Linked DNA regions of Xenopus tropicalis. The protein of the gene in region 2 interacts with the protein of the main gene of each other region in a pairwise test. Links are inferred from orthologs where the notes say so. Each region holds a gene or a part of one and is shown on either strand. Other genes may lie near its edges.

Region 1 (4,079 bases), about 120 Mb from region 2:
GTTCTGTAGAATACAATAGTGTTTTATCTGTTATCTGCTATGTGCCTGTGCCTTTTCTCCTTTGAACGGCTGCCTCCATGGCTACAGAGCAGCTTATTTATAGAAATTATAGTAGACTTTCTGAAGTAAACACACAACTTTTACCAGTGCAGGGCAGCAGCACATTATATTTTAGTTTACACTTTCATTTTTTGGTGTTACTGTTCCTTTAAAACATTTTCAATGAGGAAAGGAGAGAGAATCTTCCCCCCTATGTGGCATTACCTGGTGACGCCATCGGAAAAGACTGGCAGTGTCAATGTTGGGATGAGTGTCATCTTCGTCATCAGAAACTTCAATGTGGTCCCACACGCTATAATCCACCATTGTGTAGCAGAGATCAGACAAACAAGAGATTCACTGAAATGAAGGGCATAAAGAAAGACTTGTTTACAAGAATTCAAACATATAAAAGGTCTATATTACTACTTGCTACAGAAGCAGCTCCTGTGTGTCTAGAAAGCCTGATGTATCCATAAGGCCCTAAGCACGATCCTCTTATGTCTTAAGTGTTCATAATTATCTCCAAAATACCTCGACAGAGCCAATGCAATTCCAGCAGTTACTAGTACCTACTGTCATAACTGCTTCTGCCTCATCACTATCAAGGACTGAATCTAGGGCCAAACGGTAATGGAGCCTTTCTAATCTTTTTGTCTCTACAAAATGCATTGAAGGACTATCTGTCCTGTGTTGAATTTCCCCCACTAAAAGCTAATACAGAGGTCTTCAAGCTCCCCCTAACTGGACTTCAGGCTGGGCCCCCTTAGCTCATAACAAGGTTACAGATATATAGAAACATTGGGGTAACAGTCACCCTGCTATAGTTCCAGGGGTACCCAGGGCACAAATAAGCACTCACCCCAAATCTCCCCTAACTGGCCTTCAGGCTGGGCCCCCTTAGCCCATAACAAGGTTACAGATATATAGAAACACTGGGGTAACAGTCACCCTGCTATAGTTCCAGGGGTACCCAGGGCACAAATAAGCACTCACCCCAAATCCCCCCCCTAACTGGCCTTCAGGCTGGGCCCCCTTAGCCCATAACAAGGCTACAGATATATAGAAACATTGGGGTAACAGTCACCCTGCTATAGTTCCAGGGGTACCCAGGGCACAAATAAGCACTCACCCCAAATCCCCCCCTAACTGGCCTTCAGGCTGGGCCCCCTTAGCCCATAACAAGGTTACAGATATATAGAAACATTGGGGTAACAGTCACCCCGCTATAGTTCCAGGGGTACCCAGGGCACAAATAAGCACTCACCCAAATCCCCCCCTAACTGGCCTTCAGGCTGGGCCCCCTTAGCCATAACAAGGTTACAGATATATAGAAACATTGGGGTAACAGTCACCCTGCTATAGTTCCAGGGGTACCCAGGGCACAAATAAGCACTCACCCCAAATCCCCCCCTAACTGGCCTTCAGGCTGGGCCCCCTTAGCCCATAACAAGGTTACAGATATATAGAAACATTGGGGTAACAGTCACCCTGCTATAGTTCCAGGGGTACCCAGGGCACAAATAAGCACTCACCCCAAATCCCCCCCTAACTGGCCTTCAGGCTGGGCCCCCTTAGCCCATAACAAGGTTACAGATATATAGAAACATTGGGGTAACAGTCACCCTGCTATAGTTCCAGGGGTACCCAGGGCACAAATAAGCACTCACCCCAAATCCCCCCCTAACTGGCCTTCAGGCTGGGCCCCCTTAGCCCATAACAAGGTTACAGATATATAGAAATATTGGGGTAACAGTCACCCCACTATAGTTCCAGGGGTACCCAGGGCACAAATAAGCACTCACCCCAAATCCCCCCCTAACTGGCCTTCAGGCTGGGCCCCCTTAGCCCATAACAAGGTTACAGATATATAGAAACATTGGGGTAACAGTCACCCTGCTATAGTTCCAGGGGTACCCAGGGCACAAATAAGCACTCACCCCAAATCCCCCCTAACTGGCCTTCAGGCTGGGCCCCCTTAGCCCATAACAAGGTTACAGATATATAGAAACATTGGGTAACAGTCACCCTGCTATAGTTCCAGGGGTACCCAGGGCACAAATAAGCACTCACCCCAAATCCCCCCCTAACTGGCCTTCAGGCTGGGCCCCCTTAGCCCATAACAAGGTTACAGATATATAGAAACATTGGGGTAACAGTCACCCTGCTATAGTTCCAGGGGTACCCAGGGCACAAATAAGCACTCACCCCAAATCCCCCCCTAACTGGGGGATATATAAAGTTACTTTTCTGTTATGGTGAGTAAATTTCCTGGTATAATTTTGTCTCTACATCCTTCCTGGCAAATCAAAAAAACAACAGTAATGTAATATTTGATGGTTACCCCCCCCCCCCCCCAGATGTGACAGTGCGACCCCCCAACTCCTGCTTTACTTGCCACATGTCAGGGACTAGAATCAGAAACATGGCAGGGATATGGGGGGGGGGGGGGTAGATGAAAATAATATACTGTGCCCCAGCCATTAATGATGATAAAGCCTGGCTCCCAGATATTGTTAGACTACAACTCCCAGTATACTTTAAGTCTGGAGTATATGTTCAATAATTGTGAGAGTTGTAGTACAGCTACCCGGGCAAGAACAGCGCTCACTATACCAGGGAGTATTGCTTAATGCCTTAAACTGTTGCCCAAACAGCCTGTCCGTATAGGTAAATAGGATATAGCAGCACCGCAGGCAGGTATAAGAGAAATAGCCAGCTGTGGGAAGAAGCCATTACCTGGCACACCAGGGTGCAGCTGCAGGCCCCCTCGCAAGCTTCTGGAAAGCTCCTGCACTCTCTGCCTCAGCCTGCCCACTCCATGACATCACTTCCTTAACCTCGACGCGGCTGATTTGCCCTTACGCTAGAGTCTTCGGGCCGACTTCCTTTTTTGCCTATTCCATTCTCCTTGCGTCACTTCCGCCTTTGCTAGACAGGCAGGTTTGTTCTTGCTGCCGTAGGGAGTGGTTTGTGGAGGGGAATTGGAGATAGAAACGGCTTTATAGGATGGTATGCGAAGGGTTTTTCCACAATCAACATTATAGGCGGCCCAAGGGGGAGGAAAACATGAAACAACTGCTTATATTGTGAAAGGGGAACACCATCCGGAATCTGTTTTATTTTAACTTAATTCTAGGCAGCTTTCTGGTATACATACATTAAAAAGAAAAATAAATCATTTTGATATTTTGTGATTTTTGTTCAAAGCAGCGTCTGCCTGGCTGTTACTGTTGTTTGCGCTGCTGGTTCTGACTCCTGAAACAATGTAGCAAAACCAGAGAACAGAAAGGGATATACAAATACTGCTTGTCGTTACAATTGTAAATATAAATCACTTTGAAGCAATATATAATTGGTTTCCATTAGGTATTGGTTGAGGGTCAGTTACCAAATGTGCCTAATTGCCAGGCAAGCAGATCTGTGCTTTAAGGTGGCCATACACGTGCCGATTTTAGCGGCCGATATCGGTCCCTTAAGGTGTCCATACACGTGAAGATCCTACGGGTGGGTGATATCGGGGAACATGTAGGCAAATTTGATCGTTTGGCCCTGGGGCCAATCGAATTATAATGGCAATGGGGCAGTTGGTTCGGGGACTGCATCAACGAGCCGATGCGTTCCCCGATCCAACTAAATCTTTTAACCTGCCCGATCAATATGTGGCCAATGTGAGTCTAGATATCGGTCGGGCGTGCTCCTCGTTCCTGCCCCTACACGGGCCAATAAGCTTCCGAAACAGTCCAAGGGACCGATATTGGCAGCTACAATCGGCCCGTGTATGGGCACCTTTTGACCGATTCGGCAGCTTATTGGCCCGTGTAGGGGCACGAACGACGGGCCTGCATGACCGACATCTGGCCTGAAATCGGGCAGGTTAAAAAATTTTGACGGATCTGGGACCGCATCGGCTCGTTGATGCAGTCCCCAAAATGACTTGCCTATACCCGTCATTATAATTCCGTAGTTTGGCCCCAGGGCCAAATGACCAAATTAGCCTTCTTCAGGCATAAAAACAAGTGCATTGAACTTGATTAAAT
Region 2 (4,038 bases):
CTGGGAATCATTTATTAACACTGGGCAAATGGACAGTAACCCATGACAATTACATTTTTGCTTTCACTGTTCACTGTTTTGGCTGGCTAAATCAGTGATTGGTTGCTATGGACTACTGCCCACGTGCAAATTTGCCAAGTGTTGATAAATGAGCCCTATTATGTTTTGACCTTATTTAGTAACCCAAGGCTACCTGCTACTATCTAGCAGGGAAGATCTGTACCGCTGAAGATGCCTCCCATAGCTCCCCATCTTCTCTGCTGCTAATTCACAGCACATACTCTGGGGGGCTACTGTCATTTGCCTAAGCATAAGGACCCATTCACAATATACATTCTATACATTTAATATAAAAGTTACAATGAAAGTCTAATTAGTAATTAAATGAACTTCACATTAATTACACACAAGTTTAGAAACCAGTGCAACCTGAAACATCAGCTTCTGTAAAAGTTAAACTTAATTTTCTGTTTGATAATTTCAGGCAAAGCTTAATTTCTCAAAAACAGCCAAGAGCACACAGAGCAAGTGCAGTGTCACTGACACTAAACAGATGGCTTAACAAGGTCTAAGATGGTGAGCTGATCTGGAGTCCTGCATAATTCCTGTTGCCTCTGCTGTTACAACAAGTGCAGTATATAAAATACAGCATTTCAAGAGAAATTCGTTTTAGGCTAGGCGTCCTCCTTCAATGTAATACACAGCCTGGCTGAATTCTGATAAGATTGAAAAATGAAGTCTGATCTGCTGAGACTATACATTGGTGACCGTGGGAAGCTACAACCTTTGCACAGTTGCACACTATACTTCCTGTACAGGAGATTGCCTCAATGCTGTGTGAGTTGTTTCTATTATAGGTGCCATGGATCTACCACGTATTTCATTGACTAAACACTGGACAGCTATTATGGTATCTGCTAAGGTAAGGTTTAGATATCGCTCAGATTCTGCTTAATAACTCTTTAGTGCCCTCATCCTAATAACCTGCTTCCCCCAGTTTCAGTCTCTAGCTATTATTAATCAGGTCCTGGCTCGGGAAAGATGTTAACCAGATCCGGCAAGAGTGGAAATTTCCACATGTATAAAAGCCAAGAAACATTGTTATCAGCATAGTTCTGACCTACTGACAATCATCCAAACGTATCACAAAAAATACAATACAAGCCGACAAGTACAAATATATAACACAGACCTTAGACCGACAACCTTTGCCACTCCCCTTGCATAACCAGACAGCACCAACAAAACAAACACACAATGGCCCTTCCCCTTTAGCAGTGATAAAGCACGCAGCCATGTTTTTTTATAAGAAAAATACTTAAGTTGTGTACATAACCCATGCCAGTGCTTGTGTGAGCTGCAACACCCAAATCCTGGGCACACCACGGATCACTAGACAAAATTACTAACTCATCTATTAAGAAATGGTTAGAAAACTGTCTGTTATTCATTATTTAAACATTATATTCATATTGTTTTTCTAAATCAGTTTGTAGTACTAGTTATAGTACTAATATCTGCTAACAACCATCTTATATTTATTAAATGAGTCACCCATGTAGATCAATACACGAGGGTTAGGGCTACCAACAATCCAGTGAGGGCAATGTGGCTTGTGGGCTAGGTGCCTTATGCACAGATTGCCCTACCCACATTCACTGAACTTTCCTTATTATTTGGCCTCAGCGCTGTTTATTCTGCCCTAGGCAATAATATTATGCTGTGATTCACCCTGAAGCCATAACCACACTGAGATATAAACAGAATTAGTAGCTGTAGCACAAGTTTGTGTTGCTACCATCGACTGTACCCGAAGATCGTTCCTATTGTGGGTAGGCTGTGTGTGCGCTGAACAATTATTTGCACATACAAGTGTATAATGTACAGAATTTACCCCAGACACAGGCAACCTGTTGCAACTCACTACATTCTTCCAGCGTATGAGCTACAGAGGGGTGTAGTTCTGCAACACAGAGACTGGAGACTGGTTCTTACTATTATTACACATGATAAACTGGCAGTCATTCAGCATCCCCTGCTGGACATGGTATCTTCCAAGGAGATTATTTGCCCATTAGGGAGGTGGGTTTATCCTCATGCCAAGCCTCATATTACCTTGAAATTGGAAGCAAAGTGCAGGGGATATATATGCCAATATCTGCTGGCAAATATGAATGAAGGTCAGGTTTGAGGTCGGGTAATTATTAATTATATACCCATGTAACAATTATTTGATATAAGCAATTATTAGTATATAATGACTGAGCTTCCCACCTTTGTAGAACATCTGGAAGGCTCCCCCTTTGAGGCCCTGGAACACGCCAGTCACCTTGTTAGCTAGCAGCTCGCAGCTGGACACGGACGCCTTCTCTTTGCCGGCAGCCGGCAGCTCCAGCTGGAAGCGGCGGATCTCCCTGTGACTCTCATCCTTGCCCAGCAGATAGGCTTTCACGGTGACTGGCATGGTGGCACCTTGGGCACCGTATAGGCGGCGATGTCGCAGTTAGGAACAAAACAATGAGCAGAACGACTGCGCAGAAGTTTGTTATTCTGTGACTGACGGCTGAGAGCAGTCCCAGCTTTATTTATACAGCCAGCCTGGAAATCCCCACTCCTCCTTAGTCCACCCTCTACGTCCAATGTATTCCTATTAGTATCAGCCCTTTGGAACTTGCCAGACTCTTCCACTCTGCTAGCCACGCCCACCAACCTTGTGATGTCACCGTGACCTGGCAAAACAAAGGGGGAACTCCACACAGTGAGGGGACTAAAGACTACCAACTGCAGGGCAATATTACATAATAAATGACAGATTCACAGTCCTCTGAACAGTATAAAGTACAGTTTAACTGAAAAGTGTACAATAACCTCTTTTTGTGAATTTAAGGTTTTTATAAGTATAATTAAATATAATTTCTTACTCTATTCTCTGTTTATTCCACTTTTGGGATTGTAACTTCCTACACATAGGGGCACATTTACTAACCCAGGAACGCTCCAAAAGCGTTTTTTTTTCGTTATGATCAGTATTTTTGCGACTTTTTCTGCGCCATCACGACTTTTTCGTATATTCCATGACTTTTCGTCACATTACCGGAATGTTCTTTTGTGTGCAAGTGCACTGATCGAGCCCATGCAGATATGCACTGAAAGATCAAAGTCAGAAAGGTTTTCCCGGCGTTTACGATCGGTCAGTACGAAAAATTTGCAATGATGGCGACGAAAAAGTTCAGAAACTTTCGTTTCCAATCCGAATTTTTGCCGTTCGGGATTCAAATTCATGGAATAGTAAATGTGCCCCATAGTGTCTGTATCTTAATTATGGCGCCAGATGTTGAAAGACTGCAGCTCCCAGAGTGCTTTAAAACTAGACTATATGGTGAAGCGTGCAGGGAGTTATAGTCCAGCAATATATAGGAGCCCAAGCTTTGGAAACATCTAGAACAGTTGCAGATTGGGGTTGCCACCTTTGCTTTCCTATATTTTATTTTATCATTCTCCATTACAGATAACATCAAGCATAAGTTTTGCTGGACAGATGGCAACTCTATTCACAGATGGGTCACTTGCCCAGTTTGAGTTATGGTGAATTTTAACTCAAACATGACAGGAGAATGTAGGGCCAATGCCTTTAATGGTGAATATAATACAGTTGCAGCTTATGTTCCTAAGCAGACTGAGGCCTACTGTGTCGGACTGGCCCACCAGGATACCAGGAAAACTCCCGGTGGGCCGAGGGGTCAGTGGGCCCTTATTCTCCTGACCATTTGGCATACTTCAAGGTCATTTGCTATTTCTGAATGGGAAGAAAGAGGAGAAATAAATGGAAGGATAGATGTAAATAAAAGAGACTAGGAGAATAAAGAGGTTGGGTGAGGAAAGGAGGAAATATAGTTTGGAGAGTGGGCCTAGGGTCCAAGGTTTTCTGGTGGGCCCCTGGGGTCCCAGTCCAACACTGCCTACTGTAGCTGGAACAGCTGCTTACACATGAAATTGGATGGCAGGGCTAACATGGGCATTCAGAAGTTGAATCTGAAC
Region 3 (4,143 bases), on a different chromosome or scaffold from region 2:
CAAGATTGCATAACAGAAAAAAATTAGTTTTCACACAAACAGAAATTTTGACAACTGCAAAATTTGGGAAAACTGGAGATAAATATTAATATACCAATTAAAATTCAATTTGGCTTATAATCAGACTCATCTAATCAATTTGACTTGGGATTTGGGAGATGATGGAAAACAATATTTAATCAGCCTAAAGGAAACACAGAGAATCCAATAGTCTTTATAGTCTGCATATGTTTGTGTTGTATTGCTTACCTACCAAGGTTACCAAAATCCTTCAATGATATTCTGGCCTCTGAGTAACTATTTGAACTTTTCAGGTCAGTCACTCAGAGGCCATCATTAAAGAATGCTAGACTTCATGCTTAAAGATTTTGTGGTGTACTTTTTATTTCTAAATTACACTGTTTAGCAAATAATTCACTCTGCCATTTAAAATTTTATTCTTGGATCAACATGTATTTTTTTTAGTTGTAATTCTGGTGTGTAGGCGCCATCTCAGTGCATAGTGTCTCAGTCTGAGCTTTCAGAAGGAGCCAGCGCTACGCATTAGAACTGCTTTCAGGTAACCTATTGTTTCTCATACTCCCATGTAACTGGAGGGGGCCCAACCCGGACTTGGATTTCTTACTATTGAGTGCTATTCTGATACCAACTGGGAGCTGCTATCTTGCTCCCTTCCCATTGTTCTGCTGATCAGCTGCTGGGAGGGGGGTGATATCACTCCAACTTGCAGCTCATTAAGAATATGGCTAGCTCATGGGTGACCAGACCTTTTCCGTCTGTGATCGACGATGACCGGGGAATGCGGAAGTGCAGCGTGAATGCGTACTGCTGCCTCCAGGCATGCCCAGAAGGCTCTCCAGGTCAACTACAGGTAGTCGAATTGAAGAGAGAACTGAACAGGAAGTGGGGGCGGGGCTTTACTCTGCACAAGGAAGCAAAGAAAAACTATCAACTTCTAACTGAGGAACCAGGTCAGAAAGAATGCTGGGACAAAGGTAGGTAATTCTGGAGGCTGTTTAGAGTAATTTTACTGATAGAAAAAAAAGGTTTACTTATTCTTTAACCTAAAGTTATGAACAAAGTAGCACTCTAATTTGCTCAGCAGAAATAATCAAAGATAAAAAGACAAAATACTATTCTTTACCCATAACAAGTTCAAAATAGGCAGAACATTTTTGGTTCTAGACTAGAACAATAAAATCAAAAGCACTGTAAAACTTCAAGTCTCAAGTATGAGATTCTCAAGAATGTCACTCTGAATAGGCAGAAACATTGGGAAGACCTTGAGAATCATTAGAGAACAACCCCCTCTGCAATGAAAAAGTTAAACAAGTATTATGACATTCTTTCATAAAGTCATCCATATAATAATTTATTTGATGCAATCTCCTCTTTTTGCTGCTAAAATGGGCGAGGAATTCCTCTTTGTTAAAACTGCAAATTGTTTTTGCACCTTATCAAATGTATATTTATGAAGCTATTCTGAAGGAGAAGGAAGCTCAACACCCCAAGCAGTGAAGCGATATGGAGTGGCTGATATTTGTCCATGCACAGGTGTGCAGCAGCATTAAATTGGGCACAGTTCCACAATGACAATCTGTGATTCTGGCAAATGCCAGAGGGGCTGCTGTAAGATACCATAGACCAGGAGTCCCCAGCCTTTTTTAAAAGTGAGCCACATTCAAATATAAAAAGAGTAGGGGAGCAACACAAGCACTATGGCTATTTGGTAGTCTCTATGTGGACTGGCAACCTACAGGAGGCTCTGTTTTTTTATGCAATCCAAATTTGACTTCAATCCAAAAATATGCACCTGCTTTGATGCCACTGGAAGCAACAGGGAAGGGGATGGGGAGCAACATGCTGTATGTGAGCCTCTGGGGATCACTGATATAGACAGGCACTATTTATTGGGGGTTGTGTAGGGGGGCTGTTTGGGCCTCTGTGTATTTAAAAAGCCAGGGCCTGGTTTAAATCCCAGTCCAAGTCTGATTAGACAATGTTTCCAGTGCAGTACTAAACTCTACTACAAATGTACTTTGTTACTGGATTACTGCTCTTCAGTAGCAGAGTTCTTGTTAATTCAAGAGTGCCATGCACAAATACCATCAGCCTGAAGCCTGGCATGGTTGATGATAGATTGGTAAATATAGGTTGTAAGTGCTGGATTTACTTGGATGGGTTGGACTTGATGGACTCTGGTGTTTTTTCAACCCTATGTAACTATGGTACTATAGTTGCCGACTGGCCTACTTAGTGATCCATTTGCCACTAAATCCTTTATAAAGCGCTGGAATGGAAGGCAAATGACACGTCCGATGTTCCTTAGCGAGGCACATACACAAGGAGTTACACAATCCCTGCCTTACACGGTCAGAGCGGTGCGCACACAAGCAGGACGGAGCCGGAGCTGGTTACCAAGGTATAAACGTATTCTATAATACGTCCGAATTCCTAATATTTATATATATATATTCACTCGCTCAGTGACTAATAGAGCCCGCCCCTAGAATATACCCACCCAAACCATATACTTCCTAATAATAATAAGCAGAGGGACTCGGTTATAGAGTAAGTCCCAGCAGGGCCCCAAATCACTGGTATCAGTGACATCATAACGCCTTGCAGCAGCAGCAGCTCCGCCAGGTCGCAGTCTCAATCCCAAGGTGCATCCTGATCAGGACAAACAGCCCTAGCAAGCGCAAAGCACAGTGAAGTTGCCGCTGAGCTCCGGAGGGGCCATTACTTGCCTTTATTATTCATTGCCCCGGGTTCACGTCTCTTGCTCGATCTGTATTTTCTCTGTGTTGTTGTGGGAGATGATTCCACTTCCGCTTCTATCTACTTCCTTGTTGTGTTTTTTCACTCTACGCAGATACGAAAGCGCATTCCTGCTGAGCAGCGCCCCCTACCTGCACTTTCATTTTGCGCGGCTTTATTGCAGGCTGCAGCTTTTGGCTTGCCTAAACACGCATTTTGCTTTTCATAGACCCAAGGAATGGTACAACTTATGGTTATAATTAGCCCATTAGGTAACATAGTAGCTGCTTTACTGGAAATGAGTAAAATTTTCTTGCTTTTGTATCAACAGATTTTTACCATTTTGTATTAACACTGGTCTAGGATATCAATTTAGCTCTTTCCCTGTTGTCCAGGTTATGGGCTGTTTGTAAAAAAATTGCATTGTTGGGGAATGCATTTTTCTTGTAAACGTAGGTGCTATGTCATTGGTTGGCTGACACGTTTCTTTTCAGGTAAAGGGAAAGGCTTATGTCCCACGGAGTGGTTTAGTCGCCCACAATAGATCTGTGTTATCGCGGGTGACTGCCCTCTACGAAATGCCTATCCACCAGCCACGCCGGTAGAAAGCCATTGCTTGCATTGCTTCAGTTTTCATAAGTCACACAAAGATGCCTGCTGGAGGAAACTTTGTATGACTTTGGAATACCAAAGCCATGTGAAGGGCTTTTCACAAGCAACTCCTATTGTTGCCAGTGGAAATGCATTTTGGAACAGTTAGTTGCCTGCGATAGCAGAGATCTATTGCAGGTGACTAAACCGCTCAGTGGAACATCAGCCTTAGTCACTAGAGTCAATATATTAATATTACATGCATGCAGTATATAATGGAATTGGTATACATTGGGTAATGTAATAAAGGATGCAAAGTTCATCTGGGTCAATTAACCCATAGCAACCAGTCGGATTCTTGATTTTATATAGCTGACCAGTAAATTCTATCTGCTGATTGGTTGCAGTGGGTCACTAACCTAAAGCAAATTTCGCACCTTTTATTATATTGACCCCTTAACACCCAGATACTGACCCTCACTACTCTATGCTACTATTGGACCTGACAGGAACTGTAGCCCATGCAGTGCTAGAACCTAACTCACAACTCTCCTGTAATTTCTGTGTGTTTCCTTCTTATCATCACCTTTGCAAATAACCCCAATGCACTGGCCTTATTGGCTGGGACTTCTCTCCCCCAGCTGAAAAATTTTTACGTAACAAAGGTGTCTAGGAGCAGCACCTGCTGTAAAAATTGTGAATTTTTTTAAGGTTATTATTTTTCACCTTCACCTACTTAATTTATATTGAGAAAAAATACCCCTTATTGTAAAGGGATATTATAAGTCACTG
Region 4 (4,205 bases), on a different chromosome or scaffold from region 2:
TTAGAGAATGCAAAATAAGACAGTGGTGATCAGAACTAAGACCATAAGAATAACTAGGTGTTAAAACACAAATCACAAATGCACAAAATGAAATGGGCTTTTTGTGTGACAGATGCCATGTCTTTTTTGAAGTACAGGAGCAACATACCCCCTTGTTTAACATGAGTTCAATTAGTAGGGCTTGTGCTAGTTGTACTTTTTGCATATTGTTTTAAAAGACACCTCTCCTCCAACAGAAGAATCTTCAGAACAATTCTGTGAATTATTCCTCTGTCGTTGTAGCTTTCTTGAATAACAAAGGGGTTATGTACTGTACCACACACACAATACATTGTGTAAAGTGCAAAAAGGCATTAAGTGTCGCACTCTTGCACATGTAACCTGGGGATTAGAAAATGAGCACTTAAATTAGCTTGGAAGCCTTGCTGTGTTGGAAAAATAGATTGATTCTCTACTGGGTACCATTTGGTTGTAGTTTCCCAAGGGATTTATTTGTTTTCCTGGTTTCTTACTACTATATATATATATATATATATATATATATATATAATATGTAAATAAGGGATGATAATAATAGTACTCCTGTTTTTTAGGAATGAAACTGGTTGCTGATCTTATAGCATTTCATAGCAGTGCATGGATAATGGTCAGAATGAATTATTGTGGATAAGGTTGATAATAAGATGTTATCATTACCAGTAACCAGAATGGGTCTGCAAAATGTAATTATCTAAAGGTTCCACATTCTTTAGTTACAGTTATGAATTGGAGTATTTAGGGCATAATTACATTGTCCTTCCACTGACCAATTCCCTGGGTTGAAAGGAACCATCTACATAATATAGTAAATACTAGAATTCAGTTTTGGTAAGGCTTTGTAATATTTTAGCTGTTTAGTGTTATTCTTCTCTTCTTACTGTCATTAGTAATTGGAGAGAGCGCTTAAATGCTTGCCTGTTACATATCTGCTATCACCTTAGTGACTGCAAGCTTGTTGTAAGAAATATTTATTGTGGCAAGTGCAGATATTTAGCAATAAATAATTCAGCACAGCAGGCATACAGCAGCTGCTAGGGTAAGGTAGCAGATCATTTGCATGTCTGTAGTAGACGATATTACTCTTTTTTGTTGGTGGTGTTTTGTGGGCAGATTTGATTGTTGCTTTCCAGCACCTACATTACAAATGAAGGTGACGGGAACAATAATTTTCCGATGCAAGGCAGACCTCTTAATCTCAAATATTTCTGTTGATAATGGTTCTCATTGTTTGCTCGAGCAGCAGTCGGATTACAAGTGGTCCAGCTTGGGGAGGCTGGCTACGATTATTCAATTTTCACACTGACAAATCAGGCATGTGGAAAGGAAAGACGGGAGGAGGGAGGTGTGGAGGGTGTAGGGGAAGGGAAGAAAAATACGGAGGACATAGGTTGCTCCTACTGAGTAAAAGTATTAATCTCTTATTTTTTACCCCTTCTAAAATTCCTTCTGTTTATGAAGAGCTGATAGGTGTGGTTTCTCTGGTACCTGCTTTGAATGCTTTGATTCCATCAGGTTGTTACATATGCACATACCTCTCAGGGGATTTATTTGGCAGTTATGTACTGAAGAAGAGACTTGATTCCTTTTTTATTGTTTATACACGCACAGATATCATTCCTGTTGGACTAATTTTGGGGAGCAAAGGTTAATGTAAGTATTGCATTTACATCTATATAACATGCCATGTAGGATATTAAGTGTATTTATTCTGCTCACTATGAGCTTTTTTAAATGTTCTATCTGGCATTTTCACCCAGACCTAGTTTAAGCAGCTGACAGTTGCTCACGGGATAGCTTGTCACCTGTGTCCTTAATGCAACGGAGAATGATGCACATGGTTGTTTGTCTTATATAAGGAGAATAGGAAGTATGAAGGTTTCTGTGGGTTAAATGCTCAATTTTATCTTTAATCTTTTTGCCTGTGTGAAGTACGGTATATTGTGTCTGTTTCTCTCCCATTCCCTTTCTCTGACTCTCCCTCAACCACCCCCACACAAACTCTCTCACACATACACAGCACCACTCTTGCATACAAACACACTCAAATATTCATTCTTGCACACACACTCATACATATCTGTATAAAGAGAGACTCTCACAATCACAGACATACATACACTTTGATCTTCATCACCTATCAAACATCTTAAATAATTAGGTACATTTTAACAACAGGGATTATCTTTTTTCCTTAAGAATAAAGTTTTTGTTGGATTAAAAATAATTATTGTAAAGCTTTTTCATCCTGACAACAGCTATTGCATTATTATTTACAATATTTTGGTAAGTTACAGACCTTTGTAAAATACTACCATCATAGACCGACTCGTCCTGTTGAAATACTCTGTTGCATGTTGTAATGTAGTAAAGAAGTATTAGACAAATGGCGTTTCATGTTTCAGAAATCCATTTTTGGCAATATAATACATATATATAGCATATCTTGCTGATTGGACTGATTAAGGATAGACAAGGGTTGCACCGAGAGATTGTTTTTTAAATCCTATACTAATCAGTTACAGATATTTTATTTTGTAGATGCTGTTCAAATGTAATGAGTTACACTATAATCAAATGACCTGTCCTAATGTGTTTGTATGCATTTGTCTTTTGCAGAGCCACTAGAATAAATTTATTAGCTATGGATGTATTCATGAAAGGGCTTTCTAAAGCTAAAGAGGGTGTTGTGGCAGCTGCAGAAAAAACCAAACAGGGAGTGGCAGAAGCAGCAGGAAAGACAAAAGAGGGTGTTCTCTACGTAGGTAGGTAAAAAACTAATCAATATAATGTCATCTGTTCAATTACAATCCTTATCTCCATTTTTCATCACCCTGCAAAAAACACAATAGGATCTATCATTTGTCTTCCGTGTCCTTGGAATACAAATGCAAATACCCTTTAACATTTGTTTATTGTGTAGAAGTTTGTAGCAGTAGTTGTCCATGGCAGAATGGATCTGTAACCCCTGGAGATCACAGAGGATCTCCTTGGTGGTAAATCCCATACATGTCTGTTTTAGAAGCAATAGCCCACTGTACAGTTTTGTAAGCCACAAGACAGACCACTACAGAAACTGTAGGCTTGATAATAGATTGCCCAGTTCTAATCACATTGTAGCCTGTTACACATATTCTTTACATTATGATTTTACAAAGTGTTGTTTCTTTTGAAGGTATATTGCAAATCTAATTTACACAATACAAATAAATAATGACTAAATTTAAATGCTACTCTTTATAATGACAATTAAAAAATTAGGGAGAGGGATAGAAAGAACATAGTTCAATATATTCTACAGATCTGTAAAATAGAAGGGTGAACACATCAATATAGTTCTCCAAGTGCTCAGGCAAAGGAAAGAGGCATAGGAACCAGACCAGAAAGGTCAACTAGGGAAGATTATGGGACACACTGCCCCCTGAAACCTACAAAAGACCTGAGTTGTGGTCCAGTACACTACATTTTAATAATAACACAAAACTAAATGTCCTTAGTTCTCTTGTGTAAACCCTACATGTTCCTATTATGTATATAATTTGGGTACATCTCCCTCACTCAGACAGCATCATTTGTACTGCATATATCCCCAAAGTTCACCAGCACCATATTATTTTCCTAAAACAGATAGTAGCTTTCACCCACCCGCCATTATTAGTGATGTATTTGCAAACAGCAACTTTATGCTGTAAAATTCATGCAACTGAGACTGCAGGCTTACACAGGCAAAACTTACTTTGATAAACATTTTTGGTTGGTTTGAGCACTCTAATGTTTAATCTGAGCTCAGAAGACATGGCTAGGAGAAAAATAGAAGCAGACAGCTAGAGCAGAGCTTCTATGGGAACCAGCAATGCCATCTCCTAATTGTCTGCTAGACTGGAGAGTCTAGTAATCTGAGTTGAGAAGAACTGAGCATGCCCAGTAGCCAACAGTCAAAGCATATTCCTGAGGAAGGGGGCTGAGTGGGTTACAGAAGAAGAAGGAATCCTAAGTGATTAACGGGATGCTGCAGCCTTACTATTAACCTTTTAACAACAAGAGTGACATGTAGTTAAATATTTCAAAGAGGCTGCTTACTTATTACATGTTTGTGGGGGGTTCACGTGTCCTTTAAAATTAAAATATGTACATAGAATAAAGTTTGCACAGTGCACATATTTATAGTC

The links.
Region 1: the proteins of sqstm1 (region 2) and cdc37 interact in binary tests that used the Homo sapiens proteins (3 or more experiments, as listed by UniProt). The link is inferred for Xenopus tropicalis from reciprocal best matches to the Homo sapiens genes SQSTM1 and CDC37.
Region 3: the proteins of sqstm1 (region 2) and dazap2 interact in binary tests that used the Homo sapiens proteins (3 or more experiments, as listed by UniProt). The link is inferred for Xenopus tropicalis from reciprocal best matches to the Homo sapiens genes SQSTM1 and DAZAP2.
Region 4: the proteins of sqstm1 (region 2) and snca interact in binary tests that used the Homo sapiens proteins (3 or more experiments, as listed by UniProt). The link is inferred for Xenopus tropicalis from reciprocal best matches to the Homo sapiens genes SQSTM1 and SNCA.

Annotation. Positions count from the first base shown.
Region 1 is NC_030679.2:137,667,132-137,671,210, forward strand, and holds the start of cdc37 (hsp90 co-chaperone Cdc37), read right to left. Parts: upstream 2,801-4,079; 5' UTR 2,779-2,800; intron 400-2,778; 5' UTR 367-399; coding exon 265-366; intron 1-264. UniProt on the Homo sapiens protein: Co-chaperone that binds to numerous kinases and promotes their interaction with the Hsp90 complex, resulting in stabilization and promotion of their activity. Inhibits HSP90AA1 ATPase activity.
Region 2 is NC_030679.2:22,202,840-22,206,877, forward strand, and holds the start of sqstm1 (sequestosome-1), read right to left. Parts: upstream 2,801-4,038; 5' UTR 2,465-2,800; coding exon 2,275-2,464; intron 923-2,274; exon of another isoform or gene 485-922; intron 1-484. UniProt on the Homo sapiens protein: Molecular adapter required for selective macroautophagy (aggrephagy) by acting as a bridge between polyubiquitinated proteins and autophagosomes.
Region 3 is NC_030678.2:142,300,702-142,304,844, reverse strand, and holds the start of dazap2 (DAZ-associated protein 2), read right to left. Parts: upstream 2,801-4,143; 5' UTR 2,764-2,800; coding exon 2,751-2,763; intron 1-2,750. UniProt on the Homo sapiens protein: In unstressed cells, promotes SIAH1-mediated polyubiquitination and degradation of the serine/threonine-protein kinase HIPK2, probably by acting as a loading factor that potentiates complex formation between HIPK2 and ubiquitin ligase SIAH1.
Region 4 is NC_030677.2:78,431,466-78,435,670, forward strand, and holds the start of snca (alpha-synuclein), read left to right. Parts: upstream 1-1,405; 5' UTR 1,406-1,689; intron 1,690-2,091; exon of another isoform or gene 2,092-2,197; intron 2,198-2,237; exon of another isoform or gene 2,238-2,322; intron 2,323-2,655; 5' UTR 2,656-2,680; coding exon 2,681-2,801; intron 2,802-4,205. UniProt on the Homo sapiens protein: Neuronal protein that plays several roles in synaptic activity such as regulation of synaptic vesicle trafficking and subsequent neurotransmitter release.